Linked DNA regions of Schizosaccharomyces pombe. Changing the gene in region 2 together with the main gene of any one other region gives a genetic interaction. Each region holds a gene or a part of one and is shown on either strand. Other genes may lie near its edges. The genes, in order: aly3, gad8, tip41 and gpa2.

The links.
Region 1: of gad8 (region 2) and aly3, changing one suppresses a phenotype caused by changing the other (phenotypic suppression), as found in Schizosaccharomyces pombe (one study listed by BioGRID).
Region 3: of gad8 (region 2) and tip41, changing one suppresses a phenotype caused by changing the other (phenotypic suppression), as found in Schizosaccharomyces pombe (one study listed by BioGRID).
Region 4: of gad8 (region 2) and gpa2, extra expression of one rescues a mutant of the other (dosage rescue), as found in Schizosaccharomyces pombe (one study listed by BioGRID).

Annotation. Positions count from the first base shown.
Region 1 is NC_003421.2:1,518,862-1,525,635, forward strand, and holds aly3 (arrestin-related substrate adaptor Aly3), read right to left. Parts: upstream 4,460-6,774; 5' UTR 4,331-4,459; coding exon 4,275-4,330; intron 3,735-4,274; coding exon 3,585-3,734; intron 3,524-3,584; coding exon 1,945-3,523; 3' UTR 1,495-1,944; downstream 1-1,494. Other genes in the region: mug160 (ATXN10 family protein), read left to right, coding at 55-1,359; SPOM_SPCC584.16C (uncharacterized protein), read right to left, coding at 5,656-6,351.
Region 2 is NC_003421.2:910,768-917,277, forward strand, and holds gad8 (serine/threonine protein kinase (AGC family) Gad8), read left to right. Parts: upstream 1-1,732; 5' UTR 1,733-2,349; coding exon 2,350-2,371; intron 2,372-2,442; coding exon 2,443-4,130; 3' UTR 4,131-4,471; downstream 4,472-6,510. Other genes in the region: SPOM_SPCC24B10.06 (uncharacterized protein), read left to right, coding at 81-231, 297-492; SAGA complex subunit Ada2, read right to left, coding at 4,615-5,928. UniProt on the Schizosaccharomyces pombe protein: Involved in a signaling module for sexual development and cell growth under stressed conditions. Required for G1 arrest under nitrogen starvation and for growth at high temperature and osmolarity.
Region 3 is NC_003421.2:1,144,645-1,149,301, forward strand, and holds tip41 (TIP41 type 2a phosphatase regulator Tip41), read right to left. Parts: upstream 2,586-4,657; 5' UTR 2,498-2,585; coding exon 1,739-2,497; 3' UTR 1,571-1,738; downstream 1-1,570. Other genes in the region: cytochrome c oxidase biogenesis protein cmc2, read left to right, coding at 1-2, 65-155; ubiquinol cytochrome-c reductase assembly protein Cbp3, read right to left, coding at 412-1,263; anillin-related medial ring protein Mid1, read right to left, coding at 2,809-4,657. UniProt on the Schizosaccharomyces pombe protein: Involved in negative regulation of the TOR signaling pathway in response to type of available nitrogen source. Activates the PP2A phosphatase ppa2.
Region 4 is NC_003424.3:2,515,094-2,521,998, forward strand, and holds gpa2 (heterotrimeric G protein alpha-2 subunit Gpa2), read right to left. Parts: upstream 4,147-6,905; 5' UTR 3,223-4,146; coding exon 3,102-3,222; intron 2,939-3,101; exon of another isoform or gene 2,697-2,938; coding exon 1,753-2,696; 3' UTR 960-1,752; downstream 1-959. Other genes in the region: SPOM_SPAC23H3.12C (hydrogen/potassium transport protein), read right to left, coding at 100-780; avl9 (LAlv9 family protein), read left to right, coding at 6,605-6,657, 6,716-6,824. UniProt on the Schizosaccharomyces pombe protein: Alpha subunit of the heterotrimeric guanine nucleotide-binding protein (G protein) involved in glucose-induced cAMP signaling.

The DNA.
Region 1 (6,774 bases), 610 kb from region 2:
TATCGTCTAATGAAAACAGCTATTGGTTTAAAACTGAGTTCAAAATAGGTAGATATGGAGAAAATGGAATCAACTGAAGAATGGGAAGCACTATTATCATCATCCAGCAACGGTGATGAGCTGACGATGAAGCTTATAAGAAACGGCCTTGCAAAGGGGTTTAAGTCTCAAAAAGCTGCTGGAGATGCCGGTCTTTATAGTCGGTTTTTACCTTATCACTTCACTGAGTCGGTTTCAAATGATAGTTTTTCCTCATTGCCATGGCAAATTTTTGCAAATTCTGTTGCTGGCAATTCGCCTCTGCAAAATGAAGCATGGGCTTTTTTAATGGATAATGAGGATTTTTTCCTTCCTGTTCCCATGAATCCTGCTCAGTGCACTGCGCTTGAAATAGCTCTATGGTCGCTCATAAGAGTGGATGATCAGCGACTTTTCGAACTTTGTCATTCGAAATCTGGTATACGATTGCTGAGTATCATTTTCGATTTTGACTCACATCCGGACTGGCTTCGGGAAGATGTAATGTTCAATATTGCTGAAAGAATTCTAAAGTCCAACTTCCCTAATGTTCTAGTAAATGTTGCTTCTAAAATTGGGCCTAAATCTATTTATTTCTTGATCGACTGCATGAGTCATAAAATTAAGCTAAAAGAAACCGCTACAGGATTTTATGTTATTTTAGATGTACTCTCTTGTGTTGGACGCCAATTCGCGTCTGTGTTAGAAGAATGTTTTACCAAAGAAATCTCGTCTGCCGGGCTTGACCATATTAATCATTTCTCTGAAATTGTTATGTTAGGTGTCGATTTATTGTACAGAGACTATGTTTCTTATGATACAACTATATCTTTAAAGAACGATGATTCAAGTTCGCTGGGTGATATGGAATTTGAAACGAGTCAACCGTCTTCTTCGATCAGCGAAATAATTCATTTGCTTGCCGTACTTGACAAAAGAATTCCCAAAAAGACCCTTGTTGAAAAAACATATGCTTCCTCTATGGAGTTACAAGAACTCTACAATGCTGTTGTAGGTGTAAAGCGAGAATGCGTTAGATTTATCGCTTTTATTTGTTCCAAATTTAGTACTGCACCTGACTTGGTCCGCCATTTCAATGGTGTTGCTTTAATTATTTCTCAAGCAAATTATGATGATTGGAATCCGTATATCCGCGAAATCTCAGTACTCTGTACTCGTTTACTTCTTCAAAATAATATAGAAAATCAAAAGATTATAGGGGGTTTAACTCCAATTACAACTACACATTCTGATGCATTAGAAGAGGCAGGTTTCACATCATATATCAACGACAAAGGAAAGGTAGTTTTGCAACCAAAGACAGCAAAAAACTCTCATTAATGAATCTGTTTTATCGAGTTTATGAACACCTTTTTTAGTTCTTTATTTACTGATGCCCCAAAAATTCAAATCATCAAATCTCATTAACAAAAGGTTAGCGCAAGGTTACCAAATCTGTCAATTCTTCATTTTAGCTGGTTCAATAACAATTATAGTAATACTTTGACTCGACTTTGTGAATATTTATTTATTAACTTGATTCGGTATAAGTAATTTAAATATCATTAAATATCGTATATAAGCTGCACAACTTTTTCAAAACTTTTCATACCAAATTCGCTAATAATTTGTATGCTTGACATGCTGTAATCATAATTTTTCATGCTTTTTCAGATTATATATTTCGGTAAGATAATTTCAATGTTAGCAAATAATATGCAATTGAAAACATAGAATGCGAACTTTGAGTGTTTTTGGATTCAATTCAGACAATCCATATTTTGGAAAAAAAGGCGTCACGCATTTTCACAAACAGAAAGATCAATGCTTAAAACAAACATGCTTGTAACCCAATTTACTTTTAAAATCATTAAAATTAATGATCTTAGATCATAGGGAATGAAAATAAACCACTTTAACAGACGCTCATCGAACTCCCCTTCGAACGAGATTTGTAGAAGAAAGACTTTTCCTAGTTGCCATAGGATGGGAAGGAAGCGGAGGCGCAGGAGTTGAAGGAAGCGCTGGTGCGATGATAGTGGGTACAGGAGATGGCGCTATAGTCGTCGTATTACTAGGAATCTCGACAGACTCAGTAGGACTTGAAGGTCTTGTAGCTTCTTCATAACGGGGAAGCCCATCAAGCGGCAAGACATTAGTAAACGCACTGTGAGCTTCGTAGTACGGAGGAATTTTGCTCAATTCCTGTACATTAAGGGTACATGCGCTACGTACACGAGGTAACCTCGAATTACTGCTGGTTGGAGAAGGAAGTGGTGAAAGCAAATCCGTTTGTAATGGTTGCAACTGAGAATTGAAAACAGAAGAGGCACTGTTAGCTCTCGTCCTAGCGGCTCTCCGCGTAACTCCTGAAAAAGGTGCTAATGGAGAAGTTATTGGCGACATCATATCTGTCTGCTCACTAGACATAGACTGTGGAGAGCTTCCAAAGAAAAAATTGGCATTGGAATTTGAAGCGGGAGAAGACGGTTGTTGTCCAGAAATAGGAACTGGATTAGAATGAATATTCACTGGACTGTTTGGACCGAAATCGGAAGAATTCCTACGACTTAAGTTAGGAGTAGTAAACCCGCTTTGCAACTGTGGATTTTCCGAGGGTATGCCATCCCACAATACATCAAATACATGCTTGTCGTAACTTGGAAGAATATTTTCATTCACATAGGAATTGTGATCACCAGTGAATACTCCTTCAGTGGGTCGAGCACCAAACATCACTGGGGATATAACAAGACTTAAAGGTAAAGAATTCCGTAGTTCTGATACATGGCCATCAGGGTTCAATAACGAAATGGACAACCTTAGTTTGTGATGGACTCGGATACAATTTAGGTCACAGTCTTGAGTACATTCGCCAAGGGAATCTGGAATCTTTACCATAATTTGGTCTTGCCAATAATCATCCACCATTGGTAATCCCGGAATGGTCTTCTTTACTAATGCACGCTTAAACTCCTTTCTACATGTAGAAGAATAGGCCTTGGAAGTAATAAAAAGCGTACAGTATTCTTTAAGAACTAAAGTCACTTTTCCTACATCAAGGCCTTTTAATAAAGGATACAAAGTAATGTTAACAGGTATTTCTGAGCCAATTGCATACACCTTAGATGGAATACTTGTTTCATAATTAACTTTAAGGGGCCAAATATCACTTACGCTGACTGAATGCATAAGATCAAGACTATTTGGAGGAATAGTCCTAATAACACGAAACTGCAGAGCAGTTTCTAAATTGGTAGGAGGCTGAGTTGCCCGCTCCAAAGAAGCAGTGAGTGTATAGATAATATGACATCCTGGAATTCCTTCAATTGAATCAGGAATATCTGGAGGGAGCTCGTAATAAAAAGGATACTCGTAGTTTCCTTGGTCAATTACTTTAGCTGACTCGTTGGGAGCAAGGAAAGACCAGCTTTTATCCAGAATTTGTACAACTTGACGTCGAATTCTGTTACCAGGCGATGCATGACGGGACTCATCAGCCCAACTATAAAAAAAGTGTTAGCCCTAAGTGAGGTTAAGTTATTAATGGGAGTTTTAAACCATACCAAACGAAAGAACGGCCACTTAGCCGTAATTTAATATTCTTTACCCGAATGGGGGAAGATACAGAAAGAACTACGATACCTGATAATCGTGCCGATGTGTCCATCGAGTTTCCATATAGCACAATCACATTAGCCTCTGCATTGTAAAGCCTACAAACGAGAAGTTAGCCAGTCTGATGCGTATATATATAACAAGAAATATTTAAGATAAATAAATGTGTCAAAAGTAAATCAAACGCAGTATATAGAAAACTGAAGCTTAAAATGTTTACAAAACAAAGATGGGGAAATTTAAAAAAAAAATGTAGGGAAATAAGTAGAAAACTTAGAAAAAGTATTAAAAAAGATGGAATAAAGACAGCGCTTTGTAAAGAAAAAAAAATTTTCTAAAAAGCGCCTACCCGTCCAATTCCTTCGGCCATTCCGAAAAATGCCGATTTTCAGAAACAATCAAATAGCAAACTATTGAACGAGCAAATTGAATCAATTTCAGATGTTATACTAACTTGATGGCTAACTAAAAGCTTTTTTCAACATCCGAAGACTTAAAACCTAAACATTAATTCGAAAAATCCCCAAACACTATTTCGTAAACGGAAACAAAGCAATTATAAAGATGTTGCAGAGAGATTAACCACTATCCTGGCCTCTCAAATCTTGATATAAACACGAAAAAGAGTGATTTCTTACCGAACTTCAAAGAGCTTTACGGGGCTTTTGTGCCGGCCACCTTTAATCTTATTCATTCATAATAAGTTCTGGTGCTGTACCAGATTTTGTATCTCTGAATATCTACGAACAGATTTGAATCCAAAAAATCGGAAGGAATGTAGCAATTTTCAACCAAAACGGTTGCGGGACTGAATAGGGTGGATGGTGTAAACAATTAAGTACTTTAAAGGTATATATGAAAGCCTTTGTCATACACAACGATAGCCGTTAAGCCTCGTTACCAGCCTTCAGTGGTCGGCGGGTTGCCAGTGCATTAAATCTCATAATATGAATACCTCAAATTTTTGGTGGAAGTATGGGTTAAGGTCTTTTAGTGTTTTTATTAATTACATTTTCATGAACAGAAGGAGTGCTTCCTCGATATTGGAGGAACATATTGAACGTTCCGATTTGTAAACATTTCCTTGATATGATTATACCTTGATGTATGTACGACCACATCGTTACTTTTTATACTAATATTAATATGTGAATGAAAGACTTATATTGTTATCGGTAAGCTACCATCGAAAGAGGCTCAAATGTTAGTACAATGCATCAAATGGGAATAAATATAGAGTTGCATCCCCCTACCCTTTTTGGAACTGTTAAATTATCGCTACAATTCTGTACTAAAATAACGAGAGCTATGTACGACTATTAACATTTGGTCGAATTATATTGTTAGGGCACATAGGAATTACTTATAATATTGAAAAGGTGATTTTAAAATCTATAAGATTATATTAAATTTTTTAATCTAAAATTCAAAAAAATAAACAGATGAGAAACAGCTATTCAGTTGGATAAAATGTTATGCTTCATTAAAATTAAGAAAATAAACAGCAGCTATAACAAATAAAAAATTGTCACGATAGTAGACACGGTCGGTATCGTGTAAACCAGTCGGAAAGGAAGAAAATTTTGGTAATTTATGAAGGGCAATGCGGGCAACAAAACGACTCATGAGTAGCTTTTTTAAAAACGATGGAACGTTTTATTTTTTTCGGTCTATAAGTACTTTGCTACTGGGATTTTTAGGACATCTTTGGGGTATCAAAAGTAAAAGGTGTGGACGGAGAAAAGCTTCAATTTCTAGACAGCAGTGAAAGGTTTCATGAAGGAAATAGATTGGCAATAAATATATATGAAATTGAGAATAAAATGCGTAATAAGCACATCTTTAATGACGCGAAAATCATCAAAAGGAAAATGCATGTCAATCCAATAGAACAAAAATAAAAATAGTCCCAAGAATTTATAAATAACAAAAAAGAAAAAGAACGCCATTATTATTATTTATTAAGAAAAAGCATAAAGATAAGGAATAAGCAGAAGTTCCGCACGAATACACATTAATTCACGGTTTTGGAAAATAATTGGGCAATAAATTTAGTAGGGATAGTTGAACGCATAGAGAAGTTGACAAAATAACCATTTCAAGTTCACGATGAGTAATGATGCGGTTACTCAGACCCACACTTCCCCCTTCAAATTGTAAGGAACGAGACGTTAAGGATGCTAAAAAGTAGGATTTTTTAACATCTTGAATATGCAAATAACACTTCCAAGTTTCATTAAGTTTTGCCTTGTCAGGAGCAACCCACTTAATTCGTAAACTGTTTTCGATACTAAACGATGCCAGCATGTCAAACACCCATTCGTTTTTTGTACAAGATATTGTCCAAGGTAAATAATCCTTGATATGGGGACTATAAATTTTAATAACGACTTGACTCGATCCAACGTGTCTTTTACAAAAGACAGCAGAAGTCTTATTTGATTCAGAGGAAACATTATCCAACACCAAGTTGTGCGACAAAGTATGGACGGAAAAACGAGAGTATAAGTTAAAAACGGGCTCAGCTGTGATTCCCTGTCGTTTTACTTGAACGACAAGGCTGTTTAATTTAGGTCGTAGAAATCCCAATGGTGGTGCATGTGGAAACGCGAGAAGGAAAGATGGCAATTCTGGCATTGGAGGTGTTTGTCTTTTCCTTGAGCTTCTTTTACTTGCAGGAGAGGAAGAACCACTGGAACTTGATGAAGAAGCCATTATGATAGAGAGTTAATTATGAAGAAAATTGTGAAGAGAAAAAAATAAAATAAAATAGAATAAAATAAAATAGAGTAAGAATAAATATATTTAAGGGACTCCTCTTTGTCTATTAGTAAGGATTTAAGGGCGAGACGACTAAGAGAACGAAAAGTGGTAAAAACAATAGCGATATCCGTGAAAAGAAATTCTACCCACTATAAAATCTCCCTTTCTATACCAGAACTATTGCAACCAATTTGCTATTGCCACAGCAATTGGGGAATTATAATATTAAAAACAAAAACCCGAAAGCTGAGTGAAACAGCAAACAATGAAACAACGAAATAAAATCTTTCAAGTGTCTAAACAACACTTCACATCGTTCAAGCAATTCGCCGACACCCAAATATACTGTAGCTCACGAGTTGTACAGTGAATGAG
Region 2 (6,510 bases):
TTTTACATCCCTTCTCTATTCTCTATGTCTCTGTCTTTATATTTTGTGACTATGTGAAATAGCTAACTCAGTATATTTAGCTAATCGTGTTTTGCCCTCAAAAATTCCTTTGACCCCATTTGTTAAGAGGGATGATGATTCTAGTTCAACTCAGGCAAGTTACTCTACTACTGTGAGCGATGTTGTGATTGTCACCGACAAATCTTGGTCGGATGGTGTAGAAACCATTTTGTAAGTCATGCTTGTCATTTTATGGAAACTATTTGTTTGTGTAAAATTACTAATATTATTTTTAGTCCTTATAGTTACACCGAATATCAACCATCTACTACTTACACTTCTGCACCTGCCGGATCCATTGGATACGCAGCATCCATTCCCAATACAGGGCGCGAATTGATGGAGAGTGGGTCCCCTGTCCGGTTTTCCAAGAGTTCATTATTGATTGTTTCACTCTTGAGCATTGCTGCTTTTGCCGCTTTAGTCCTTTAAAAATTCAACCGGAACCTACCCCCTAACATTCACCTGAAAATTTCTCTTTAGGGATTTTCTAAACTTAGATATAGTTTTTGATTCTACTTTACTCTTTTAAAATTTTTGTTGCTACTTACACTGTCAATTCTATATCTGCGCTCGATAACCGGTTTCTTTTTTTAGGCGCTTTGGCAAACTCGTCTCATCCCTTTAAATAAAACACACAAAGGGAGCTCTCTGTGAGAAAATTCAAAACTCTGAAGAAACATCGCTTTTACTAGTGAGGAGCCTTCTAGAAGTAACTACGAAAAGAATTTGCTTTTCTCATGGGTAAGTAAGGGTTTGCCTACAGTTGAGTGAGTCATCAGTTTCAACAAATTTCGTTCTTTTCATAAATTCATTGTTCATGTTTTATTTCTGTTTTATATGTTATTTTATTTTATTTTATTTGAAAATGTTTTTTGTTTTTCAGTTCTCTTTGGATTTATATACACTTTGAAGGACTTGTACGAAGCGTCCAGTGTATTAAAAGTAGAGCATTGGTATACAAATTGCTTTTCCGTTAAATTGCTTTATCTTTTTTTTTCGCTTGTTGCACAAGGAACTGAAATTTTACAAAACGCATCGTACTTGGAAGTTGCAAAAATCTGATGGAAGGCATAAATAAATGACTTGTTTTGTAAAGAGGATATTGCAATCCTAACGGTGGTATTTACATGCTTCTATAATTATTTTAAAACAAATAAAGTTAATTGGTCTGCTAAGCTACACATACGCGTAAACGGCATTTTGCGTTTGTCCGCAGATAATTGTCAAGATAATTATTTGTATTGTTTTGCTATATACTTCGTTTTGTAAATTGATCCATTTGAGTGCTGTTTCTTGACACGTGTAGTATAAATCCTATGTTTCAATTTAGGTCACTACAAACTTGAGCAAGTTACCACTTACAAGAGTACACCAGCACTTTTAATTTCTCTATATTAATATTCCATCTTTTTGACATTACTAAGTTAACTAATTTAATAGCTGATATGTAAAACACCATTGCAAAGAACTTTTATATATAGTGCAATCGTACGAGAAAAGGGTCTATAATTTTTGATCATTATACGACAAACCTGCGTAATGTGCCGACCGTATCGGTAGCTCTCCTTATAATATTTTATCGAACTCACGTTGTTCTGCCGCAAAAAGCTGCTGTCTTGTACCACTTGTATTTTAGGAATACGGATGATCCGAGCTGGCCACATCTACTGACTGCCAATACGACCTAACAAAGGGAATATCAAACGAAAGCATTTTTGACATCAAATTTTATTTCATTGACTTTAACGTATTTAGTGCTGTCGATTGGTTTCAATTTCGTCAAAATTTCCGCGAGGTGAAGGCGACTTTGCTCAAAGTCGTAATACCAAAATCGGCTTAGAAATCGACTTTATCAACGAAGCATTCCTTTAGTAGGGATTTTGGAATAAAAGAGATTGCGATTTATTTTGAATTTTAAAATCAACACCCTTGCTTACTACTTATCGGGATTAGATTTCTTTGACGAATTTACTACTATACTGACATTACCAAACGCCTGTATCCCCTTTCGTTTATTCAAAAAAAATTGCAACTTGTGCTTACTTTTTATTTTATTTTTTTTTTGGATTTGATTTGATTGTTCGTTCGTATTCGCTTACTGGTACACTTCCCGTTTTTGTCTTCGAATTAGTCCATAAATACGTTTTTTGTTAGATTGAAGCTTTTTTGCAGCCTCGTTACCTTATTCTTTATCATTTTCGTTATATTAAAAGAAAAGATAGAGGGAAAGCGAGCTTTTAAAAATCAGTTCATTTTTTTTTTCTACTCCAAACAGACGTTACCGAAATGTCCTGGAAACTTACAAAGAGTATGTATTCCATAATACGGGTTATCACACTCTGTCTTTCTTTTTCATACTAACAGCTTTTCGCTTTTTAGAATTAAAAGAAACTCATCTAGCATCCGCTATTGGCCTGAACTCTGGCGGCTCTAGTTTTACTAGAGGTCTGAAAAACAGTACTTTATCCTCTACTTCTTCTCGTAAATCAAGTGATGAAAAATCTCGGAAAAGCTCGGAGGATAAACGGTCTCCCCAAAGTACCGTCGTGCAGCCTGGTTTATTGCAGGTCACAATTATAGAAGCTAGAAATTTAAAATTACCGTCGGGACATGTTCCTGCCAACTACGGGGTTTCCATTGACAATTCTTTACTTGCCCCTCCACTTAGTAATGGCTCGGGACACGCAAGGTCTCGTAGTCATGCTTGGTGGTTACCTTATATCGTCGTTGAATTCGACAAAAATGAAATCTTAGTAGATGCTCTAAATACTGCAAGCCTTGAAAATCCTTGCTGGGATTATCAGGCAACTTTTGACGTTTCCCGTTATTCCAAACTCTCCCTGAATATTTACCTTCGTTCTTCATCCAGCCGCTCGCGCAACGGTATGGGGAATGACGCTTTCCTAGGCGGGATTAAACTGTCGCCTTCTTTCATTGTAAACAAGCTTACAGACGAATGGGTACCCCTGCATGGGGGTAGCGGTGAACTTCGTGTTCAAATGCTTTACAAACCCAATCAAAGTACCCCTTTAACCATTGATGCATTTGAACTATTGAAAGTGGTTGGCAAAGGCTCTTTTGGAAAAGTCATGCAAGTGCGTAAGCGTGACACTTCTCGTATCTATGCTTTAAAAACTATGAAAAAAGCCCACATTGTATCTCGCAGTGAAGTAGATCACACATTGGCTGAGAGGACAGTACTTGCTCAAGTTAATAACCCTTTTATTGTTCCATTAAAGTTCTCCTTTCAATCTCCCGGTAAGCTGTATCTTGTCCTGGCCTTTGTTAACGGTGGTGAGTTATTTCATCACTTACAAAGAGAAGGCTGTTTTGATACATATCGTGCCAAATTTTACATTGCTGAACTACTTGTTGCTTTGGAATGTTTGCATGAGTTCAACGTTATTTATCGAGACTTAAAACCGGAAAACATATTATTAGACTACACCGGTCATATTGCTTTGTGTGATTTTGGACTTTGTAAGCTAAACATGGCTAAAACCGATAGAACGAATACTTTTTGTGGCACCCCTGAATACCTCGCTCCTGAATTGCTTTTGGGTCATGGTTATACAAAAGTTGTTGACTGGTGGACTTTAGGTGTGCTACTTTACGAAATGATTACAGGACTTCCTCCTTTTTATGATGAAAATATAAACGAAATGTACCGAAAAATTCTTCAAGATCCCTTGCGATTCCCAGACAACATTGACGAGAAAGCAAAAGATTTATTGAGTGGATTGTTGACCCGCGCTCCAGAGAAGCGGCTGGGTAGTGGAGGGGCGCAAGAAATAAAAAATCACCCTTTCTTTGATGATATCGACTGGAAAAAGTTATGCGCCAAGAAGATACAGCCACCCTTTAAACCAAGCGTTGAATCAGCTATCGATACTAGTAATTTTGATTCTGAATTTACATCGGAAATCCCAATGGATAGTGTTGTTGCCGATTCTCACTTATCTGAAACCGTTCAACAAAGGTTTGCCAATTGGAGCTATCAACGACCAACAACCATTGATACATCCGACGACATTAATACAATAGCACCTGGAAGTGTCATTAGGTGATGAATTTGACACTTCTTTGTTTATTTTGAAAGTTTTCTCATTTTTACTCATACATGCCGCTTTTCTTGCCTCTTTTACATATTTGTATGTTATAAAGGCCAAAGCTTCGTTCATTTCTCATTATTGTCATCTTTTTTTGTCGTACAAGATCATTTTCTATTACTATTATTATTATCATTATTATTATTATTATTACTGACAACCTCAAGTCTTTGAAGATTATTTATTTTTTGTCAGCTGAGAAAAAGTCTCAGATATTGTTGGATGTAGTGTTTTTTGTTCTTGTAGTTTCCGAAATTACTAGTGTAGAAAATTGATGGAAAACTCTTTTTAATTATTAAGCATAAGAACGTAACGGCTATTGAAAAGGGAAAAAAAGACGGAGATGTAATTAAAGGTGAAGGGGTAATTAGTAAAATTACATTTCAAAACGTAAAGGTAATAAACAAGAGTAATATGAAAAAGGTAAAAGAAACCAGTACTTTTAGGTTGGAGCGCCAATCCACCGAGCATTATGGAAGAAGTCGTACACCTGTTCGACTTTATTAGCGTCTAAGTGTTTAAATAAATTAACTGCATCGGTTTTTTGAAATGGTTTTTTGGAAGTCAGTGAAGCCGATATTAAGGCAAATTTTAGAGCCAAAAATGGTTTAGGGAAAATCTGCAGTTTTGAGCAAAGCGCTTGCTCATCCTCTGAAAGCAGTTGCCGATCAGCGGAAGCAGAAAACATTGTGGGAGTCGCTGGTTTTCGAGGAACAATCTTTTGAATGTCACGAACTTGAAAAGGAGCGGAAGTGGTTTGGTTAAACGACTTAACATGCCTCAATTGCTTATCATATGAAGCAGAAGCTTTACTTAAGAGGAATTTTTGCGTTTTATCGCGTTCATATTTATGTCCTTGTTCGAGTGTAGTAAGACCCATCTGTCGCCATTCCTGTAAATCAGAAATTTGTTTTTTTAGGGTTATTTGCTCGTGATAGCTGTTCACGAACTTTTGGTAATCAGGGCCCGTCAAAAGTCGAGCAAATGCTTTTGTTTTATTAAGTAAGTTTCGTTCCTCTTTTGACATGCGCTTCTCATTCGCCTGTAGCCGTCGATAATCTAAAAGGTTGTGATTGAAAATGGTTTGTTTACGAACAGCCCGACGAGTAAGACGGGAATTATATATGTTAAGCATAGTCAGCTTAAGTTGCATTTCATGCTTTGCTGACTCGTGTAAATCGTCATCAAAATTCATATCCTTTATGGGCAGTTCAGCTTCGTTCATGTACTCTTGATCAAATTCAAGACGGCCCGGCATATAGCCTTGGATTTCGTGGCATTGGGGTGTAGATGCTAGAGGCTTTTGAGGAATAATCGGTGGAGGCTGAAAAGCTTCAATACGAGCTCGTTTCCGTGCCGCAAATGCTATGCGATCCACCGGTCCAGGGAGCTCTACGCTTGCTAATGGATAGCAATCCGACTCAATATAGGTTTTCAGATAATGATCCCGACATTCTTCTTTCGTCCGAGCATTTCCCACATAGTCTGCAATGTCAGCCCAGTTTCCAAGGCCCAGTGTTTCACAAGCATCGATTAGTAAGAGTTCCTCATCAGCACCCCAATTTTCGTCGAAAATAGGGTATGAATTGGTTTCAATAATCCTATACGGATGAGACGGATGGTGAGTTCCTAGGGAGGCACCAGATGTAAAGCAGGGGATGCACAAATCGAAGTCAACACATTCTACGCACCGAATATGAATGGATCTTGTTATATCTTGGGCGCAGACGTTGCAATGATACTTTTGAGGAGGCATCCTGCTTCATGTGCAAAATTTTTCGTCCCTATATGGTGGAGCAAAGTGATGATCCGATGCGTAGAATATCAAAGAAGCTTGAGTAAAATGAGAAGTAAAAGTTGGATTTCAAATATGAAAATTAGATCATTAAACTTAGAAAACTCTTTTGAATACGATTTATTAATAATGGTGGCTGAAGTTGAAGTTTTTGACTTTTCAATATCACCACCAGCAATTACTAAATACGATCGAAACGTGATTGCAATCAGAAAATAAGTTAAAATTCATTCACTGAATAGTTATTTTTGTTTAATAAAAAAATCTGTTGCGTTATATATGGTTTCTTTAACCGGAAGACGGCTTCTGTCTGTCGATAAGGTAGAATCAGAAAGAACTAACTCAGAGTATTAAAAAAACAAGAAAAAAGCAATTCCGGCTTATCAAACGAATCGATTCTGTAAAAATATCACAAAGTTGACATTTACTGGATTGAAGGTCTTTTCTTACTGCCGAAGCGAATGTTTATTTCCCTTTCTCATTTTGAAGAGCACCTGCACTGTCTTGTGCTATGCGACTAACAGGTCCAAGGTTTTTCTCTAT
Region 3 (4,657 bases), 230 kb from region 2:
GCGTAAGAAACTTATTCATCAATCATGTATAAAAAAGGATATGTAACTAATATGGAATATGCAGCGCAGACGAAATATCGGAGTGGCAGATCAGGTCGGAATACAATAAAGCTAAACAAGAAAGCTTTATCGGAAAGCAAGACGAAAAGAAGTAGCTAATTAATGCATCGATAATATCGGTATTAACTGCTATTAAAATACTAGTTCCAATACAACATAATGCTACGATTTCAATTAAATTGACAAACATTCTCTACTATAAAATATTTCAAAAGCTCCTCATTACTTTTCAATTTAACGTAATGGTAAAAGCTTTCAAAGTAATTATTTACAAAAAAGATTCATGGTTTTGCATAATAAACATGACCGTTCGTCAATTTATTAATCATTAGAGTAGCAATCATTTATTAATCAAATATTTGTTTGTGCACTTTCTTCAGGTGGGACGAAGTGTACTCCCTTCCCATTGATAAAGTCATCGGTTGATAAACATGACAGGCGATAAACATTGAGGCGAATAAATTTAACAATAGTCTCAAGAATTACTAAGTCGACGTCTGGGCGACCAACGAAAAGGTTACGCCAAACGGATGTAGCCAAAACAGCATCACTTCCCAGCATTCCTTGATCATAACCAAAAATGGCGCCGGTCTGTTGCTGAAACAGATCTTTCAGATACATACCAGAAATTCGATTGCTATTAATGCGGTAATCTTTATGAATTCTGAGTTCCATGTCTTCAAAGAAACGAGTAGTTAATGCCTGTGAAAAGGCAACTTTTTCATTTTTTGGCAAACCACGAATGCGAGTATGGAGGATCCACAAATGTAATTGCGTTATTTGAAACCAAGACTGAAATGTCATAGGAATTTCACACTTCTGGTACCAAAATTCAAAAGCACCTAGCGAGTTTTTTTCGGGGGTAGCTTGTCGAGCAGCCTCAAAATACATGTATCTTGCAGTACCAGTAGCCTCATAATATAAATTTTGTTTAGGAGAGATATATTTTTGATAAATAAGACTTATTTTCTTTAGAAAACTATTTGGCGGAGCCACTTTACGTGGATCTTGAGGAGGTGTAAGGGGTTTGTATCTGAGTTCTTCTACTGGGTCTCTTCTCTTCGTTTCCGAAGGTGAATGATTAATAACATTTATTGGAGAAAATGAAAATCTTCTTCTTAAGGGACCGTATATACTCTTCCCCCATACCGGCTGCTTAACAAATGCTGGTCTCAATGGCAAATTTAAACAGCAGCGACTCATTACTGAATGACGATAAGGATCTTTTGATAATCTTTTCTTAATTAATAAAATTAATTATTACCTGCAAATAAATACGTAGGAGTTGGGTTGAAATAAAAAACGGATCGATTAATGTCGTACAATATAAAGGGGAAGAGAGGTTGTGACAGGTTGATTGCCAAATACAATGTTATAACGAACGATCAATATTACGAGGCCATCATTCTTCCTAATTAAGTATACTCTAAAATTTACTGGACCATTTTAAATTTGTTTGCAGTTTCAGTAGTATATCTTCGCCGTTTAATCGTACCAAAGATTGTATCTATTTATTTTGCTTTCTCAATTAGAAAACCTAAATTAATAACCTCTTAGTTGAAAATGATTATAAATATTACCATGAACTAAACGTAATAAACTTGTAAATTGCTTCAACACTCATTCGTTGACAAAAGTTCTAAATTCTCATGTCTGCCATTAGCGAATCATTTTAGCATCAAAAATTCAATTTATAGATTTTATGGTCAACGGTATCAAGGCGCTCACTTAACCAATTGTTATCATCTAGCAATGCAGCTTTGTCTCCCCCCACAGGTATTTGTTTAATAATTTTGTCGTAAGTAGCTTGCTTTTTACGGCAGTCCTTCAAGAGAAAATCATTCAACAAATCAATATATATCCTCGTCTCATTCAATCGAACATTTACCTTGTCTAAACGTACGACAAGGCGTGCTAACAATATTAAATGACCCTGAACAACTCGAGCTCTCACATCAAACATTGATTTTCCATTATCTGCTAACTCATCTTCGAAAAGAATTATCTCATTGAACCATAAATTTTGTCCTGCGTTAAGTATTTTTTGAACAGGTATTACCTGATCAATTTCAATGAATTTTGCATTTGGACGTTGTATAGTTCCCTGATAATCAGTATAATAAGTCCAATCAAATGGGTAAATCACAGGGTATTCTTCTCCGGGCTTAATTCTGGATTTGGCCCAGTCTTTTGCAAAAGAAACTTGCATTACATCTTCAGGTTTGGTACCAACCATTTTAAGAGCATCTTCAGTAAAAAATCCAACTACAGGCTGATTCTTGTATTCAATTGAGATGTAATTATTCCCAAAGGTCATCTCAGGAGGTGGAAAACCCAATGTACTTTGAAGGTTCTCCATCTCATGGCTTTTTAAAATTGACCCCCGTTGGACTTTGATAGTCCAATATTTAAATGAAAAATCATCTTGTTTTTGCATCTCCTTTAAATAATGTGATTTGAGTAGTTGCTTGACCCCTATATTATTGTAACAATTTAGAGTGCGTACGGCAAAATATAGGTAATGTAAATTTAGCCAACACAAAACACCTTTATATTACTTTACTCATTATAGAGTATATTCAAAAAACCAAAAGTTGATTAATTATTCAGATTAAAAATGAAAAATGATCTATAAGTATTAATTCAGTAGTTATATAATTTCAGTTCAACTCCCTCATTTAGTAAATCCGATAAGTAAAAATTATTCAAAAAATACATTAAGACGATTAGTATTCATAAATTCAGATATTAAGCCATAAAATTCACGTATTCTTGTAACCATAATTTCTCAGTACCCCTATCTAGAGCAAACGAGCGTGAATTCATCACCTGAAGCCATTTTTGGCAAACCTTTTTAGAGTCCGCAAACAACTGAACATGCCTTCTATCAACAGATGTAGCCAATATTCCAGCTACTAGACCGAGGTTTGAAACTGCCTCTGAAAAATTTACCATTGGGATTGAAACTACTGTCTTAGAAAGCTGAAAAGTATCCAAATATTGCCCACCTTTTTCAGCATAAAAATTCAGCTGCTTTGAGCGTAAAACGACAAAACGTCTTCGAATAGATGAATCTTCCAATCTATACAAGTATCCCTCATTATATAGATAGTTACTTCTAACGTGTCGCAAGTCCATCGTAGCTTGTTCTAAGGTAAATGGCAATTCCTGCTCTGGAACCGAAAGCTCAGGAATATACAAACAAGTCAAAGTTAGATTACCAAGTGTACGTTTCCCTATAGAGTTTATTTTTACAGGAATCGCTTCCAAGAAGCCTCTGGAAATGATGGGTATTTCTACGTTGAAAGCCTTTCCAAAACAACTGTCTTTGACATTACCCAAATTTAACGTAGCAGTACCCGAGACTTTCTTGATAACCACTGACTTCTTAGCCTTTGAATTCTCAACTGCAGCAGCCTTGTTGAGTTTTCTCTTTTTGCGTCGGTTGAAAAGCTTGTCAAAAAATTTCCTAGCTTTGGATTTCGTTTCAGCAGGCTTACCGTTTGAAACGTCTTTTGTAGCAGATACTCCTTTCGAACCGTTGGACTTGTCCTCAATAGGGATGTCAAGAAACATAAAACTCACTTTAAAGTTATCGTCAACATGAAAAGCAAAATCATGGTCCAACCTATTATTCCCATTAACAGCTTGCCAAGGAAGCTGCATATTTTGCGTAGGCGTATTAACTATTATCTTGATAGGTGAATGGACTTCACTTATCGAAATATTCAAAATGCTGTTCAAATGTATATAAAAGCGACCAAGTGGCAAGGGCGCCTTTGGTTTCTCTTCAAAAAATGTTTCATTCACAAATCCAAGAGAAGTAACAGGACGTGGTGATTGATTTTCAGTACCATTCGGGACTTCGTAAGACGTACTCTTATCCTGACTTGGAAGATCAAGGCGATTCAAATCAAAGGAATGTGCACGACTTAAAAGTTCGCTATCTCTGGCTACAGGCGTAGACTGCCTAAGTTCATCAATGCTGGCGGATATCTCGGCACTAGGGTCGTAAAAACCTACTGTACCAGTTTCCGAATAATTCCATCCTTCGACGTTATGGGACTCAGAACTGACTAAACTTTGGCTAGACTTGTTTGGCTCATTTTCACAATAATTACTATAAGTACGCTTCGTTCCTGGTACGGGTTGCATTGATGGGTGACGTAAATCTTCAGAGCTTAAAATAGCACTCAAATTGTCAATGGTAGAACTGCTTTTTATACGACCACGTTGACTAGATATACTATATCCCACGGAAGCAGAAGTTAGATTGTATCTGGGGACTTCATGATACGTTACAGATCCATGACCATAGGCGGCCTGAGATTTCGGAATTGAAGTGGCACTAATATCCTCATCCATATTTTCCTGTTGTAAAGAATCATTGATAATAGTAGAAATCTCAGGTTCTGAATTACGGGAAGATTGAAGGTATAACTCATCATAGTCTTTACCGTTGGTGGGAAGGGAAAGCTCAGAGAAATCATAAACTTTCCTAAGTGTACTAGCATAGGAAGATCCACTGGAAATCCGTTTTGCTTCCATCTTGGCCAAAACCTTTTTACGAAGACTTTCTGTAGAGATATCTGAGTCG
Region 4 (6,905 bases), on a different chromosome or scaffold from region 2:
TGTTATGGCATAACTATGACCGGAACGACGATTGCACACTACTTAGGTCATTGATTTTATATGCAAAGGACTTCATAAAATAGAAGGAAAAAAATATTCTTATTTGATTATTTTTGATTTCCGTTGCTCCTGAGCAACGGCACGTTTGTAGCGGTCCACGAAATCCGGGTGGCCTATGAGAGCGTTTAATGGTGTAGCATCTCCATTTGTAAACAACTTCAATGCTTTTTCTAGTTTTTCACTTTCCTGCATTTGAATGTTTTCTATGCTCATTACCCGAGCTAATTGAATAGACCCTTGAATAGCACGAAAATTGCAGTATGCTCTATAACAAAGATAAAAACCCGGAATATTTGGTATTAGAGGTATGAGAATGAAAGGTATAGTCAATGGTAATCCAATAATATTACCAATAAGGTAATTTGTATGGGTCTTTTGTAATTGTTTGGACCGATTCAACTCAGCTAAAATAGTACTTGATTCCAAATTTGGAGGATGTTCAATATACAAAGTTTGGTGTAATTCTGTATCATTTAGCTTCTTAACAGGAGCAATCGCCCTTAAAAAATTTTCTTCATAAGGAGTTGCATGCAAAATTCGGTTTCCCAAAGACACAACCTTTTGTTTGGTATAGCTTTTTGAAGCACTCCAGGAGTCCCAATACTTGTAAATTCTGTTTATAATTTTGTCGTGAATAGTAACTTTTTTGGCAAGGTATTCAGAAGGATAACAATGTAAGAATACCCTTTGATTTGGCAAAGGAAGTGCAATAATTCTCATAATTAGTTAACGAATGTACTTAATTGTTTTTACAAAATAAATATTGAAATAAATAAACCTGCAGTAACACAAAGATGGGTGGATATACTAAAGTAGAAGCTAAAAGTGGGTAACGAATATCTATGTAGTAGTATTACTATCTAATTTAATCAAATTGATACGTATACAGAACAGTGCGGCTTTTTATTATACATGGCAGAAATACACGTGTTCAATAGCTTTTTTGATTAGTAAATTAATATATTAAAGAAAAGATACTGAAAGTCGGTAAAAAGTATCAGTCTCTGGTGCCAACAAAGAGAGACAACAATTTTGATGATTCAGTGAAATAGTCTATACAAGTAGTCTAACAATTAAAAACTAAATACTAAAACAAAAGCGATTAAATCATGTATCCACTCAAAGTCTCTTAGTACTCAAACGGATTTTCTACGACCCTCATAAATAGCAGCATTAAGTGATAGCAATAGTTCTGAAAGCAGAGATAGATGTTCGAATCAAAACTGGAGATCTACTTTCTCAATCTTAAGACTATGTTCAACAGAAAGTATTCAATAACTTTAAAAGCATTCGCCAGCAGCATCGTTTAAAGTAAAAAATTAAATGCAAATTGATATTCGCAAAAATGACAAAATATTTATATCAACTAGAACTGTATAACTTGGTCATCTTAAAGAGATTATTTAATAGCAATCTGTGAACGTTCTGAGACAACTGAAAAGGAGATCGATCCTTTTCCTTACAGACAAATCGGTGATTTCAGATTCCAGCAGCCAATGTATATATTGGAAAAATATTTTTAAAGAACATGTGTAATAAACTCCGGACAATATTAAAAAAAAAAAATAAACGAATGTAAAAGAAGCGATTCTTACAAGGAGGCTTCAGAACTCTCTAGACATATGCAGACAGTAAGAGGTCTTCTGTTAACATATGAATAATGGTAGGGTAAATTTTATCTTCAAATTAAAATTAAAACATTCCCGCTTCTTTCAGACTGTGTTGTAGAATTGTTTCCTTAACGGCAGAAAAGACAACCTTTATGTTAGATGTGTCTACAGCGGTGGTAATGTGAGGATATATATTATGCTTAGCCCGATTTATAGAAGGGTTCACAAATAACCAAAGAATATACCGGGTAATACTTTTAACAGAATTTTTACCTTCATATTGGGGGAAGTAATCCTGGAACGGAACATGTTCCAGTTTCTTCCGAAACAAATCAAATTTGTTCAAAAACAGAATGATAGAAGAATGCATAAACCACTGACTGTTTATAATAGAGTCGAATAAAGAAATACTTTCAACCAAACGATTGCGTTCTGGGGCGGCTCTTTCATAAAGCTTTTTATCATAATCATTTAAGGAAACACAAAATATGATTGAATTCACATTTTCAAAACAATAAATCCATTTCCTTCGTTCGGTTCTTTGACCACCAACGTCGAACATTCGAATTTGCAAATGATCCAATGTGAACGATATTTCCGAAATACCCAGAGTACTATTTCTAGACCGGAGAATGTCATCTATTGTAGGGACATAATGCCGACTGCAAATTTCATCGGCTCGCGAAAAAAAGTAAGGGGCAGAGTCAATGAGTACGGAATCATTTCCATATGTACAGGATCTAACACTATTGGCTGACCAAAGACTAGTAATAGCTTGGCCAATATTAGCATTAATAAGCTCACCAGGAGTTGGATTAAATTTTTCGATTATCTCGCAATTGTGGGTTCCTAAAGGGTCCAAGTTGATACCTTTTTGAACGATAATTTTAACAAGGGTTTTAGCAGATTCCAACAGGTTTCGTCGGATCACCGGAATAAATGTCATAATCTCTTCTTGACTAAACCCATTTTTGTTGAGAATTTTGATTTGCTTACTGATGGTACTTTTTCCACTATCGGAGGCACCTAGAAAACAATGGTTAGACTGACGATTGTAAGAAACAAAGGAAGGAAAATTTGCTATAGGAATCAAACAAAAAATCTGTGCTATGCAATGGAGAGAAACGGTAAGAGTGTAGAGCAACTGATTACAACATGCAACGACGACGAAAAGTGGTTAACTAGAAGAACGTTATCAAAGTCACCTTCACTGACTGAGTATTGAAGGGAAAGGGTAACCAAGAGTAGAGAACGTAGACGCAATTAGACAAACCATTTTCTGTCATTTCTTAAACAGTTTCTCTGTTTCGTAAATAGTTTCACTCATTTCGTTTCTTTATTTTTTTTCTCAATCTTTTCTGCTTTTTTGCTCGACTGCCCAAGCATATATAACTATTGAACAACAACAACAACATTGAGTAGTTTACGTACCTAAAAGCAACACTTTGTAAATCTTTTTATCCTTCTTCGAGGCATTTTCAATCTGCTTTTCGATTTTGCTGTTCAATTTTTTTGATTCACCGCTTTCAGATAATCCATTAAAAATCGTCATTTTTTTTTAATCCACTACTGCAGAATATAAATACGGGGATGTAGTAGGACACCAAACTTCTCAATCCGACAGCTAGCGGGTTTTTGGGATAAGATGGGAGAAATAAATATGAAACAAAGTAAGAAGGTTAAACGCAGGTAGGTAAGGTGTAGCAGCAGAGAGGCGAGGACTTTCCAAGAAAAGCCTTCAATCCAGTTCTTTTCCCAATTAAAGCAAAGATTAAATAATAAAATGGAAAGAGAGCAAGTTAGAAAGAAAAGTGAAACGCAAATAAATAAAAGTATTAAAAAAAAAGTTGAGGTAGCAAGTATGATTAAGTAGGAACAAGGGTGCGGGTGTCAAAAGGGGATATTACAGAATAGGAATCAATAATCAAAATATTGATTAGTCAGTCACTAAACTATACGCGCAAAGTTTGATTAACCCCCTTTATGGGCGACCTTTAAATCGCAATTTCAACTTTTTTTTGAGTTTCACCAGATGCCTCGAAAAGCAGGGGGTGGAGGAGAATGAGGAAGGATCGCAGGTCGGAAGCTAGCCGGCTAGCTAATTGACACAGTGAGTACGAGTGAATACCAAGGTTGATTAAGGCAAGAAGAAAAGGCTGAAATCAGTTGAAGAGATGCAGCGACAAATGAGAAACTCGTGAAAATTGATTTCTCGTCGTCTTTCGATGAACGAGAAAAAAATTAAGAATTGTACAAGGAAGAAAGAAGAATTAGAGGCAAAATATCTCAATTCTTACTACTGTCCAACTAACCGAGTGTACAATTAAATCCTTACTTTCAATTCACACTACCCTAAATCCAACAAGCAGCAGCAAAAGGGCAAGCGTTTTGATGCTTCAAACAGCTTAAGTAGCTAACAACTATGGTTAGATTGGTACCTGAGCGGTGATTTCGTCTATACTATTTCGAAAAAGACAGACGGCAACTCTGGTATAATTTGTATTTATGAGGCACTACGTCATGCATCATCCATTTACGATTTTAATTTTTCGAGTGGGGTAGAGAGGACAGTTCGGAAAATGTAACATTGGAAAAGGATCCAACACATACCACCAAACAAGCATCATTCAAGTAAAGAAGATTGGAGTGTAAGTCTTACTCTTCGATTATGACCTTGGGCGAGGGGAGCAGGCAGTAAGCTGAGACCTGTGTGAGCTTTGCATTCTATGTAAGTATCGCATAGAGAAGCGCCGCTCATCAAAATAGTTTTTTATGTTTTATGTTTATATGTCATTAACTGGTTGGTCCAGCATTTCTATACTACTAAACTATACTGCTCTATTACTACTCTAGTAACTCAATGAGTCGTCCCTTGTTTATGGCTGAAGATGCAAGCAATCGGGATAGCAAAGATGACCAAAGGAAGTGTTCCAAAAAACGCGCAATCTTTCCAAGCAATGTTTAATGAGTGTTTTCCCAATCTGAGTTTGTTCACTTTCATAATATTTTAAATTTTCAAGCCCCAATTTTACCAAGTTCAATTCCAGTTACGGAGACTTATTTACTCAGATATGAAAGTAAAGTGCACAAGGGATAAGGCAACTAACTTGATCGCAAAGCGTGGGCAGCTATCACAAAGCTAGAAAGAAACATATAAAAAATCCATAGACGATTGGGTACCAAGATGAAGCAAAGCATGTTTTCGCAACTGACCAGTTTTACCTGACAGTCGGAAAATTTTTCAGCTGTATAAAAAAAAGAAGACATGGGGACTTGCAAACAATCTAGAAAAAAGGGATTTTTGCGTATCTAGAACAAATGTTAAACATGAAATGGGGTCTTGAAACTGAATACAGCGAACTAGACATGCTTTTCGCCCCTCCCCCGCTTGGTCCATGAAAACATTACTAAGTATACCCTGCTACCATAACTCCTCTCCTATTTCTCATTGCTCGATAAATAGCACAAAGCAGCTTGACACTACAAACTACATTTCAACGCAAAAAAAATAAGGAGGACTTTGTTAAACTGCTCATCGTTCCTAATTTCATTCGGTTCCTTAAATTTAATGGGTAAGAATGGTAAGATATCCTGATGCCGTTACTTGCTGGTTACTTAGTCTTGGAGGTTCGGGAAGGACTGCATTTGCCCCGCTAAAATAAAATAATCTTCAGGTGAGATAGAATTAGCTAGGTTTCGTAATGTTTATGTGGTACTGAAGTCAATCCGTTGTTGTTCGTTCATTTATTCATTACATACTAATAAAAGCATGTACTAGTTATAAAAAAAAGTCTTCCAAGATATTCACATGTAGTGGGAGGGTTTTTATATTGTTTTGTTTTTTGATGGTTTTTTTTTTTTTATAAAGATGAAATTCTTATTTGCGTAAGTTTAATTTTTGCTTGATTATAGGTATCCTTGACAATTATTGAATATGTATCTTATATCTCTTATATATGTGTATCTTATATATCTTGCATATCTTGATATATCCCGATATATTGTGGAAACTAGTTTGCCGGATCTGTTTCATGTTGGTTTTAGGGCAATAATTTGAATTATGAGCAAGATGCGCTTCCCAGTTTAAAATAAAACTATGTTAATTTAATTCAAAAAATTATTATAAGAAAATAATTGAATAAATCAATCATTAGCTAAGTCAATATTAGAAGACAACGGAAAAAATATAGAGTAATCTTGTTTTTTCCTAATTTTTTTCTTTTGCCAGTTGGTTGAGAATATGTCCAATATCTATATTTACAGTGTGCAAAAAAGTGGATCATGAACAACCGACTTTCTGATTTTCTAATCTATTGTGAAAACGATGAAAGAAACTGTTTTTCCAGCTACTGTTCTTTCGCTGTGGCTTTTATTTCTTTTCAAGAGTTTTAGCTTTCTTATTTTTTGTTGTAAGCGTATAACCCAATGCTTACTCTCGTCCATAACCGCGTAACCGTATAACCTTCGACTTGATGACTACTACTTCTTATAACGAAGCTGTTGGCTTATCCAAAGGCCGTACGAAAATAAATAAAAAATCATCTTATAATTCCAAAAATTAGAAAATCTTCAAAAATTTATGCTTTTACCTCATATGCTCTTCCCAATAGTCTTCTAATACTCATTTCAACAATGAAAATGCATGCAAAAGTAATGTTAAGGCAAAGTTAGGTAACAAACGTTGATACCTAGTCATACGCGTTTACACTATACCACCCATGTTAGAGACGCCCGTTGATGCTCTGCCAAAACAATGTAAATGGCCGTTGAATGCACAACTAGCTTTTTAGTTTTATTTATTTAAACAGCAATTGTATCTTTTAGTATTGAAAATAACTGTTTGGTATCGTTTTGGAACATTTACTTAGGAGGATCTTTAGTGAAATTGAATTTTGGTACTCAGATACAATCTTTTGGATTTCGTTCAATGCGATATGGATGAAAATGGTGCAAGCTTCCAAGTCCTTTGCTTGGCAACTATTGGGTTGTAAGTATCTAACGTCCTCGTCTACACAATTTAGTAATCTTGGCTAACGTAGTTGCAGTCATCATTTACGAGGTCCTGAAATAGAACACCTATTTCCAGAATCTATGGATTTTCCCAAAGAATGGTCTATCTTACCTTTCCTTTCTCTTCCAGATGGTGCACACTCGGTATGTATATCTCATTAATTTAAAACGTACAGTGAAAATGGATGGATCAGTTTACAACCCGTTCTCTCCATTTTTTTCTCG